3 linked regions of the Macaca mulatta genome follow. The protein of the gene in region 3 interacts with the protein of the main gene of each other region in a pairwise test. Links are inferred from orthologs where the notes say so. Each region holds a gene or a part of one and is shown on either strand. Other genes may lie near its edges.

Region 1 (3,750 bases), on a different chromosome or scaffold from region 3:
AGGGTACAAAGAGAAATAGGCTCATTTATTTATTCATTGATCAACTGGCACTTCCTGAAATCCTGCTGTGTGCCAAGCCTTTCCCCAAAGGAGGATATCGGTGGTGGAGCCAAGTCTGGGGGTGGAAAGGACCTGGACCACACAGAGCAGGACTCCAGAGCCTCCTCCAAATCACAGGAATCAAGCTGTGAGAGAAAATCAGATAAGAGCTTCAGCATAGAAATCAGCCAAATCATATTCACATCCTTCCTTCTGCCCAAGGATCCTCCTGAGATAAAGAAAATAGCAAGATAGTGCTATAGTTGAGAGAGACTTAGTGTCAGGAGACAAGTCTCATTTTCACCGTAAAACTCTAAATTGAAAGCATTGAATTAGATAATCCTCAAACTCCACGGATCGTTTGGGATTTAACCTCAGAAAACATGACGGAAACAACCTGAATAATAAATTCTTAGTGCACATAGTGCTTTGCAGAGCACTTTCAATCTCATTATGTCCATTTTACCGATAAAGAAACTGAGACTCAGAAAGTCACTTGCCCAGGACCCCCACCCAGAGACACTAGAATAGAATCAAAGCCACAGGTGATCCTATGGAAATCCTGGCCCTGAGACCTAGAGAACAGTTCTCTTGAAGGACAAGGGAGTCAGACAGAGGCTCTGCTTGGAATAGGGGTCAAGAGTCCCCCTGCCCATATGCCTGGGCCTCCAGAGGGTTGAGGCTGAGATGGAGGGAGCTCAGTGTGCCCTCGGCCCCTGCTTACCTTTCACAGGGGAAACGCAGGATTTCCCACACATGCCCATGCAGCACTTCAAGTCACGCTCGCACTGGCCATCCATCTCACAGTAATTGGGGGGTTTAAGCATCATACATTGGCCATAAGCTGGTGGACAACGCCCAGGCTTCCTCCTCGCTGGGTGAGAGTGAGGCTACCAGTCAGAGGCCTTGTACTTTACACAACCCCTCCTATCTCCACTTTTTAGAGTGAGCCCCTGCTGCAACCTGAGCAGGTCGGATCATCCCCCCCGATCTCTATCACCACCACTTTCTCCGTAAGTCACCCCCCAAACATAGCACCTGGCTGTCCTAGAACATCAGGCCCCCGTTGATGCAGGGGGCCAGTCGTCCAGTGCTGACTAGGTGGGAGGCTTCCAACTACCTGACTATCTAAATGCCCGCTGCTTCACCACCTGCTGGCTACCTTCCTCCTTAGGGCATGTGACTCATTGACTGATTGACAAGGAGGCCTGGCAGGACCCATCACCCAGTGCCATCCCCCTAATGCTGTGTCCTCAGGCTCACTCCTCTCTACCCAGTTCCCCGATCTGCTTACTTGGGCTTGGGGTGTCAACAGGATCCAGGCATTTGATGCCACAAATGTCAGGACAACATCTCTTCTTCCCTAGACACTGCCAGTCACTCTGGCACTGAGGTTTCTCATATCTAAGGCACTGGGCAGATTTCTTAGGAGGACAGACTCCGGCTTTGAAGGCTTTTGAAGAGAAAGTCAAGAGGTCAGGAGTAGGCTGGGCACTGAGAAGTCATCATGCCTGCTGAACAAAGCACCACTTTTGAGGGGGAGAGACCCTTACCTCAGGAGCTATCCACAAAGCCCAAAGGGTCATGCCTGCCTGATCTCCGGGTGGATTGATGGGCTTGATTAAATTGGACAAATGGACAGGGGATGTTTCAGACCCAAGAAAAGGGCAGCAGGCTTCTAGTCAAGACCTCCCACCCCAGAGCAAAACAGGGCTACACAAAGGCAGAGAGGAAGGCTGGGAGTGATGGAGATGGAGACAGATAAACAAAGATAAATAGAACCAGTGTGAGAGAAGTTGAGAGCTAAAGCCCAAGGCAGAAACACAGAGACAAAATAGCAGAAGCGAAGACACAAAGAAGAAGCAGAGTCAGAAACTAATGATTTGAGAGTCGCAGACAGGTGAAGAAGGCAGAGGATAAGAGAGAGAGAGACAGAGAGAGAGAGAGAGTGGGATCTGGGCCGACAGCATGGCTGCATAGAAAAAGCATTTCCAGAAGCTCAGAAACCCTCACAGAAACCTTGGAGCTCAGCCAGACATGTATTCCACTCTCAGGGAGGTCTCCTGAAACTAAGCTGAGAGATCAGAGCCTACAGAAGGGGACACACCCACATCACCAGGAGACCGCACCTCTGACCCTGCAGCCCAGATTAGACCAGAATGACTCCCAACTTACACTTTCCAGAGCCTTCCACAGCCCAAAGTGCCAGGGTTCCCAGGGCAAGAAGCATCATGAAGGGGAAGAGGCCACTGGACTTCATGGTGAAGGCAGGAGTGACTCTGATGGCCAATGCCAAACCTCACTATTTATTCTTTCACCAGTGGGTGTGGCCCAACCAGAATTCTTTTGGCCTCTCCCAGCTACTATTGCATAAGCAGGAAGCTTAGCCAGAGACCAGAAATCCTGGCACCAAGGAGACGGTTTATCTTTCCTATGCCAGGTGAGGCTTTGAGGCCAATACAGTAATTACCAGAAAAGAAAGGGAAGAGGTTGGCCTGAGAGGTTGGCTGATTAAAGAGGCCATCTCAGTGTCCATCTGAGCCCTAAACATCACGAGACCCCAGGCCATTAGCCTTACAGGTGGAGAGGGGAAGAAGTGGTCAATTGCAAAGGTGCTACCTGGACCTGGAACTGAAACCAGATGCAGACCCCCAGCTGAGACTTCGTGCATTACATCCTATTCTCACATTACGAATTCTGATTTTCACATTATTAGACTCTAAGGCATTGTGAAACTCTGCTGAATGCTCAATGCAGTTTCTTTCTCAAAAGTTCAGCTCATTCAACCAACCGATACTTAGTTCCCTGAAATATTTACACCGTTTATCCCCAGTGCCTGTCACAGGAAAAGCATTCACTCAACAAATGAAAGCTGAAGAAGAGCTCTGCTCTCAGCAAATCTCTTCAGAGCTCAGTTTTCTCAGCTGTGAAATGAAATGATACTAACAAGTCAGCCCTTCTCAGAGGGTTATGAAATTAAGGGCATGAAGGGACTCTGAAAAGAATAAATGAATTGTATCCCTTCCCACTAAAGAGAACTGAAATGAATCTGAGATAAAGGGGGAAAGCAGCTCATCAGTCACTGTAATCAACATTTAGCTATGAGATAATTTGAGATCTTAGAGGACTGCTTCCTAAAATTCCCCAAAAACCCTTACAGATCTCACATGACAGCAAAAAATTAAACTCGTTCTATATGCTACCCAATCTGCATAGATTGCTTCTAATTATAAAGAGAGTCATCATTATCTCTAAAATTCAGCCCATAGCTGAGTGTAGGGTCACATACATACAGTCTCAGCTGCTCATGAGGCTGAGGTGTGTGGATTCCTTGAGACTAGGAGTTTGAGACCAGCCCTGGCCAGATATTGAGACCCTATCTCTACAAAAAAATTTTAAAAATTAGCCAGGCATGATGATGTATGCCTGCAGTCCCAGCTACTTGGGAGGCTGAGCCAGGAGTATGGCTTTAGCCCAGGAGTTTGAGGCTGCAGTGAACCATGATTATGCCACTGCATTCCAGCTTAGGGAACAGAGCTATACTCTGTCTTAAAAAAATAAAATAAAATAAAATAAAATTCAACCAAAGCTCATCTGGCTGCAAACTCTAAGCTCTTGACTCACTATCTTCATGCTTAGAATTCTCCCATTCATTCCTAAAGTGAATGTTTGTGGAACTTTTCACAGACATGAAAGACTCACTCATTATCA
Region 2 (3,650 bases), on a different chromosome or scaffold from region 3:
TCAAGAGGTCTGCTAACATAGCATGAATACAGTGAAACCTCACAGTAACAGGCCCAGAGGTAATGTAAATTTGGAAATAATGTGATTAGAAATATATATATATATGAAATATATATGTGTGTGTGTGTGTATATATATGATCTTATACATATACAAGATCATATATATATATAGTCTTGCTCTGTTGCCCAAGCTGGAGTGCAGTGGCCCAATCATGGCTCACAGCAGACCAACCTTCCAGGATTAAGCCTCTGCCTCCCAAGTAGCTGAGACTATAGGCATGTGTCACCATACCCAGCTAATTTATTTTCATTTTTAATAGAGATGAGGTCTCATCTGTTGCCCAGGCTGCTCTCAAACTCCTGAGCTCAAGAGATCTTCCCACCTCAAGTCTCCCAAAGTGATAGAATTAGAGGCATGAACCACCGCACCCGGCCTAAACATTTTGTTTTAATATCGGGGTCATTCTTGTCATTAACTTTGCAGTAATGAGGTCTCACATTTTATATAACCAATGTTCTCTCTTTTGTATAGGTATTTATAATAAATAAAGTATCGAATGAAAGAGAAAAACCAATGCAAATGACATACAGGCAGAAGAAAGGAAAAGGGTATGTGCACAAACCATTATTGTTAATTCCTTTGAAGACTCTCATGGTCCAGTCTATCCAAAAATTTTATTATGATAATCCTGTAAGTACTACCCCAATAAATATGCCCTCATATTTGCTGGCTAATTTTACTTAGGTTATTTTTTGTATCTGATAAGTGGAAACCAAGTGAGAGATTATTTTATGCTAACAGTAAAATTAATTAAATGCTACAGATATTCCAAATTGAGAAAATGGATCTGCTGTCATGGTTTCAGCATACTATATTCAACATTCTTGATAAGAAAACTATCTTTGAGAATGTAGACTTAAATACTTGCATCAGAAAAGGTGAGACATTGTGGTATGAGAATTTCACTTCATATTTTTAGTTTGAAACTAACAAACACAGTCTAGTTTGGCATACTATGGAAATAATAGGTCATTTGGCCTAAATGAAGACTCTGTGTGCCTGATACCTACTGCTGCTACTACTGGGGATGGTGGGAGGTTTTGTAGAGTTAGGGTACCAGTTGGTGACACCACACATGGAGTCTGGAAATGGAAAATACATGAAATACCCTTCAGAAAACCTCTGAGACTTGTCTCAAAATAATTACTCCTGTTCCACCAAGGCTCTGAAAAACTGGCTTCATCTAGAGCGCGGAGAAACAAACAACAGGAATAACTCTTCTACCACATGCCAGTGTTTCTTTAGAGTAGGGGAGGGCTTGCCAACACTACTTGGCCAGCACTCTAAGATAGTAGTTTAGACACGACCCTGAATTCAAAGAGAAAAATGACTATTCATTGTACACCCTGCCCTCCTCACTATGGAGGCTGCCAATTAGACTGTGAACAGGAATGAAGTGGAGGTGGGGTTACTGGGGTTTCTCCAGCCCAGGCAGATGGCAAGCCTGTTCTGATTCAGATCACTTCCATGGGGCTGTGCCAAAAACATGCCCATATTCTCTATGCTTGTCTATGCTGCCTCTCGCTTCACGCCACAACCAGTGAAGCACTTCCTCAAAACTTCTAGAGTTCTAAGGGGGTGCTAGAAAACCACTAGTTTAGATTAACCCTAAACCAATGCAGGGGTTCCTTGCATTGGGTCCCTGAAAGATGCTTGCCCACAATTTTCTTACACACTTACAGGGCTACACTATGTCTCACGGGTGCTTATCCTGTCTTTGGGAAGATCTGACTACTAGAAAGTATTTCCCAATACTAAACTCACATCTACTTCTTTCCTACCTTCATCTTTTGGTTCAAGTTCTTCCTCTTGAAGTTACATGGCATAAGTCTGTGCTATCCCCTTTTATCTGACTAATCAAATACTATTCATCTGCCAGTATTCATCTTAAGTCTTCTTCTGTGTTACACCCAAAACAATCCCTCCCAGAGTGATTTCTGTGTCCTCTGGGTTCTTCAACTACACTTAATGCACCACTCCTCGGCACTTATGCTTTACCATCTTAGTTATTTTTGGCATTCTTTATGCCTTTCTAACAAGAACATAATCTTTTGATGGCTGGATGGTGTCAGTCTTTTATGAATGTCTATCTCTATACCCCTTCATCATGTTGCTGCTGAGTAGATAGTGTGTGCACGGGTCCTCCATGAACTGGCCCTAACCACAACAAGTTTACTTATTTTCTATCACATTTCCTCACAAAAATCCTCCACTCTAATCTATCCAGCTACCAAATTATACCCTGTGTCTTCCTCATTTGCTAATACTTTCTTGTTTCCTATCCCAACCTCTCCCCATCTAGAGCAGAGAGTATTAGCCTCAGGCATATGAACTCTAAACACCGTATACAAAATGTACATTTTTGTACGTGGGAGAGAATGTTTCACAGCTTTCATACAACTCTCAAAGGTCCCAAGACTCCATAAAAAATTAAAATCCACTATTATAAATTTTTTCCCATCTTTGCTTAACCAAATCTTCCCTATTCTTAAAAGCCCAGCTCATGTCCCTGGATCCAGGGAACCTTCCATATGGGGGAGATTTCCCAAGCTCTGAATATATATGTATGAATATATATGTATATATATCTCCATATATATTGATATATAAGGAGATAGATATATCTAAATTGATATATATCTCTAAATTGATACACATACGTCGATTTTTCTACCATTAATCTCTGTGGTTTATTATGTACCTTGTAGAAATTTTAAAATTAGTATCTTCATTGTGACTTAAATCTTTTGTATTTAATGTTTCATGACTGTAAACTTTACAGCATCTTTTTGTTATATGTACTGCCTTCCACAGAGCAGGTACTTAACAAATACTACTGTGGATGGCCGGGTGTAGTAGCTCACGCCTGTAATCCTAGCACTTTAGGAGGCCAAGGCAGGTGGATCACGAGGTCAGGAGATAGAGACCATCCTGGCTAACATGGTGAAACCCCGTCTCTACTAAAAAGATACAAAAAAAAATTAGCTGGGCGTGGTGGCAGGCGCCTGTAGTCCCAGCTACTCGGGAGGCTGAGGCAGGAGAATGGCATGAACCTGGGAGGAGGAGCTTGCAGTAAGCCGAGATCGTGCACTGCACCTCCAGCCTGGGCAGCAGAGCGAGACTCCGTCTCAAAAAAAAAAAAAAAAAAAAAAAAAAAATCCTACTGTGGACACGAATGAAGACGGTGAATCACCTTCATCTCAGTGTGTGTAGCAACTCAGTTTTAAAGGTGCATATCACAGTTGCGACAGTGTCATTAGACCTGGGCAAAATGCCACAGTTAGCTGCCACCTTACCTCTGCTTTACGAATATTTTCTCTAGCTTCATCTATTTTCTGTTCCAGCTCTGCTCGGCTTTGTTCTGATACAGCAGGTCCATGACACTCCAGATCATCTAGAACCTATTAAAAAAAATGGGACAATAATGATGACTGTTTTTTACTTTTTATCTTCCTTAAGTGATTAGAGTATTTACATAATTCAAAAGGCTTTAGTGACTAGTAGCCACAATTTTTTTCATTTATTTATTTTTTGAACATTTTGAAATAATTATAGACTTACTAGTAACAAACTTACTACAGAGAGTC
Region 3 (3,750 bases):
TGCTGGGATATAATTTCAATAATATAATGAAACTCTATATCTTGATTTACAAACTTTAGGCAATATTTATTTACTCCTAACTCCAAAACAACTCTCCCCCTATTATAGGCGACTGGAGGTGGGAAAAAGCTGAGTTAACGATAAGTATTAAGGCATTAATTTGTGGGTGAAGGTTGTGGCATATGTCTGCATAAGTCTGGAGCATGAGGGTTTGTGGGCAAGTCTGGGGCATGAGGATGAGAAAGAAAAGTAGTGAGGAAACAAAAATGGTTATGGGCAGGGCACGGTGGCTCATGCCTGTAATCCTAGCACTTTGGGAGGCCAAGGCGTGCAGATCAACTGAGGTCAGGAGTCCGACACCAGCCTGGACAACATGGTGAAACCTCGTCTCTACTAAAAAAAAAAAAAAAAAAAATTAGCAGGGCTTGGTGTTGGGCTCCTGTAATTCCAGCTCCTTGGGAGGCTGAGGCAGGAGAATCACTTGAACCCGGGAAGCCGAGGTTGCAGTGAGCTGAGATCACCCTGCTGCACTCCAGCCTAGGCGATAGAGTGAGACACAGTCTCAAAAACAAACAAAAACGATAAAAGCACAATCCATTGATTGAAAAGGATGCAGCTGGGCATGTTGGAAGCACACAGGGCATGGGAGGGAGCCTGGGCCCAACCCATAGGATGATGGCCATTCTAGCCAAAGGGGCAGGGGTGGCTGGAAAGAGCCCCAGGGCGAGGTTCTAGGCCCTGTCCACTTGGCCTCCATACCAAGTCCTGTGTCCCTCCCCAGGAGCAGAAGCTGAAAGAATGTGGGAACAGAGGCCCCAAAGGGCCAACCCCACCTCAGTCCACAGCAACCACTTGCTGTCACTTAGGGGAAGGGGGAGGGCGTGCCAGCAGGGGGCGTGGCCCCACACGGCCTGTCACACGCATGTGCACTGAGTCGACCAATCTGCGAGGAGCGTAGGAAGTGCTGTCGGCAGCTCTCACGAGAACTGAGTACTTGTTTTCTTTTTTGTTTTTTGTTTTTTGTTTTTTGTTTTTTGAGACAGTCTGGCTCTTGCCGCCCAGGCTGCAGTGCAGCCGCGCGATCTGGGCTCACTGCAACTTCCGCCTCCCGGGGTCAAGCAATCATCCTGCCTCAGCCTCCTGAGAGGACCCGTTTTCTAAGAGATCCTAGTGGTGCTGTTGTCTGCAGGTTCTTTGAGGGCGCCACATCAGGGGTCCCTCAGGTGAAGCGCTCGCGGTGGGGAGGCGGAAACGCAGGCACGAGGCCCTCTGGGAACCAGGGTGTGAAGCGCTGGGCCGCCCGCTGACCTGTGAGGAAATGCCCCTGGCGTGGTCGCCTGGGGCCTGGGTCAGGGCGAGGCCCTGAGGGTGGGCTGGGGTGGGCCAGGGCAGGGAGGGAGCTGGAGCCGCCTGGGTGATCCCTAGGGCCCAGGAGGGCTTGTGCATGTGTTGGGGGGAGGTGCGGAAGGTGGGGGGAAGTGGGGGTGGGGCGAGGGTGTTGTTGGGGACAGTCTGAGTGGGGCCCTCCTGCCCGGCCTCCCGTCAGGACAGGACACTTGGGGTCATCAGGGGTCCCCTGTGCATCCAGGCGGGTGAGTGACAGTGCAGCCCCTGACATTCCTCTGGAGGTGGCTGGGGAGATCCTGTGTCACCCGGTGGCCCTCCCAGCCACACGGGGTCGCTGGGGGACCCAGAGGTAGGGCTGAGTTCTGTCCCAAAGGTGCGGCGAGGATCCCGCAGACGCCGTGGAGTTCAGGTGTGAGGGGCAGCTGTGAGCTCTGCAGCCAGCCCCGGGGACGGGCTGGACGGGCTGGACGGGCCAGGACAGGAGGGGACACTGGCATCTTTTCGGTCCCCTCCTGCTCCCACAGGAGACCCAGGGCGTGCCAGCCCCACCCTTCTTGAACCTGTGATCCCAATGGCTTTCCTTTCCGATGCCAGGGTTCCTTTGCTTCCTTAGTGTGCCTTTGCCCTCATCAGGTTCAGGGATCACCTGTAGCTTCCCAGGACAGCCAGCCACGGATCCTGTGGGCAGGAGGGCTGCCAAGGCCCAGTTGGAGGCTCAATTTATGGCGGCCCAGGGGAAGGAGCGTGCAGGTAAATACAGCCCAAGGTGACCCGGAAGAAAGTGCACGCCCAAGAGGACGGTCTGTCTGCTTTCTGCGCTGGGGGCACAGGGGTAGCCCAAGGACCCGGGCCCCTTCGTGGCTTTGGAGTCCATCGTGCACGTGCTAAGATGCCCCAGGTTTTCAAAGCAGGCTCAAGGGCCTTAGGCTTCCCGTGAAAGGCTCCCCTCATAGCGGGGTTACAGATGCTCCCAGAGCAGCTCTTCTCCATGAGTGCAGTCATGACATCCAAGGGGTCTGACGTGTAGTATGTTGTTTACTGGGACTTGAACCCGAAGGGCTTCCAAAAGTGCCTTGATAAAATGGTCAGAAGCCGGTGATTCCATGTACAGCTCTGCTTTAAAGCCTTAATTGGCAGATAGCCAAAAAAAAAAAAAAAAAAAAAGTCTACAACAAGTACATTTCTCCACAAAAAAAGTCCACAACAGTGTCTTCCTCTAAAAAAGGTTTGTCTTTTAAATTTTAATGCAGGAAAGGATCCAGTCAGTGACGAATGTGAGGAAAGAAACCCTTTTACAGAAACAAGGGAGGAAGATGTAACTGATGAGCATGGGGAAAGAGAACCTTTTGCTGAAAAAGACGAGCACACGGGGTAAAGTGTTTAAGTCACTTTTGCCTGTGGGATAGGGTCTTTTAGGAAAAGTCACCTTTGGACCATGTCATCACTGTTCTATTCTGTGCAGAACATTTCACATAAGACATTTCTTTTCCCAACAAACATGGCATTTTGTGTAGTATTATGCTAAAATTTTGATGTAACTTTTTTTACAGGGCTAATACCAAGAAGCCAGAAGATACTGCAGGTATATTTTAGGAGTTATCTGTCGTTTATGAAAATTGTTTTCAATCATGCAACTGTTGCAGTAAGTTATATGAATCAGTGGATGACAAGACTGTCTTAAATGGCTTATCATATGTAGCATTTAACATACGTATTTAATGTAATCTGTTTGATAAATTTTTCTTACCTCTTTGATTGTTGATGTGGAATGTGAGAATGCTTCTAATAATGGTGAAGCGAGATGGATGGCTTTTCTTTCATACACGTGGAAATTTAATTGTTTGGAGAATATTAGAGGACATTGGAGGAGAAACAGCTCTATTCGTTCCTTTTAGTGTACGCAGATTAAGTCATATATCAGGTTTTTTTTAAGCTTTCACTTTAAGTTTGGGGGTACATGTGCAGGTGTGTTATATAGATAAATTGCATGTCACAGGGTTTTGGTATACAGATTATTTTGTCACCCAGGTTATAAGCATAGTACCTGATGGGTGGTTTTTGATCCTCACCCTCCTCCTACCCTCCACTCTCAAGTAGGCCCAGTTGTCTGTTGGTCCCTTCTTCCTGTCCATATGTACTCAGAGTTTTTAATATGAGTTTTTCATGTTCTTAATTTAGCTATTCTATTGTCACAGCTTTCTGATTTTGTTTTATTTGAAGTACAAGAGAAAATTGAATTCTCTAAAATCATTTTCCATTATTATTCCAGTAATAAACTGTGTAGTACAAAAGGACAACTTTTCTATCTAGTGAGAAACATGTAATTGGATCCAAAAACTCATAAACTTTATATTGCTGTGTGAAATATTAGTTGCACTGTTATAGGGACCATATTTTCAAAAA

Evidence for each region.
Region 1: the proteins of FAM9B (region 3) and SLPI interact in binary tests that used the Homo sapiens proteins (3 or more experiments, as listed by UniProt). The two-hybrid records come from large-scale screens. The link is inferred for Macaca mulatta from reciprocal best matches to the Homo sapiens genes FAM9B and SLPI.
Region 2: the proteins of FAM9B (region 3) and FCHSD2 interact in binary tests that used the Homo sapiens proteins (3 or more experiments, as listed by UniProt). The two-hybrid records come from large-scale screens. The link is inferred for Macaca mulatta from reciprocal best matches to the Homo sapiens genes FAM9B and FCHSD2.

What each region holds. Positions count from the first base shown.
Region 1 is NC_133415.1:98,092,636-98,096,385, forward strand, and holds SLPI (antileukoproteinase precursor), read right to left. Parts: upstream 2,322-3,750; 5' UTR 2,300-2,321; coding exon 2,215-2,299; intron 1,493-2,214; coding exon 1,334-1,492; intron 914-1,333; coding exon 764-913; intron 186-763; coding exon 181-185; 3' UTR 4-180; downstream 1-3.
Region 2 is NC_133419.1:73,226,722-73,230,371, forward strand, and holds part of FCHSD2 (F-BAR and double SH3 domains protein 2), read right to left. Parts: intron 3,465-3,650; coding exon 3,360-3,464; intron 1-3,359. UniProt on the Homo sapiens protein: Adapter protein that plays a role in endocytosis via clathrin-coated pits. Contributes to the internalization of cell surface receptors, such as integrin ITGB1 and transferrin receptor.
Region 3 is NC_133426.1:8,568,775-8,572,524, reverse strand, and holds the start of FAM9B (protein FAM9B), read left to right. Parts: upstream 1-956; 5' UTR 957-1,223; intron 1,224-1,980; 5' UTR 1,981-2,069; coding exon 2,070-2,097; intron 2,098-2,597; coding exon 2,598-2,718; intron 2,719-2,897; coding exon 2,898-2,929; intron 2,930-3,750. UniProt on the Homo sapiens protein: May play a role in meiosis.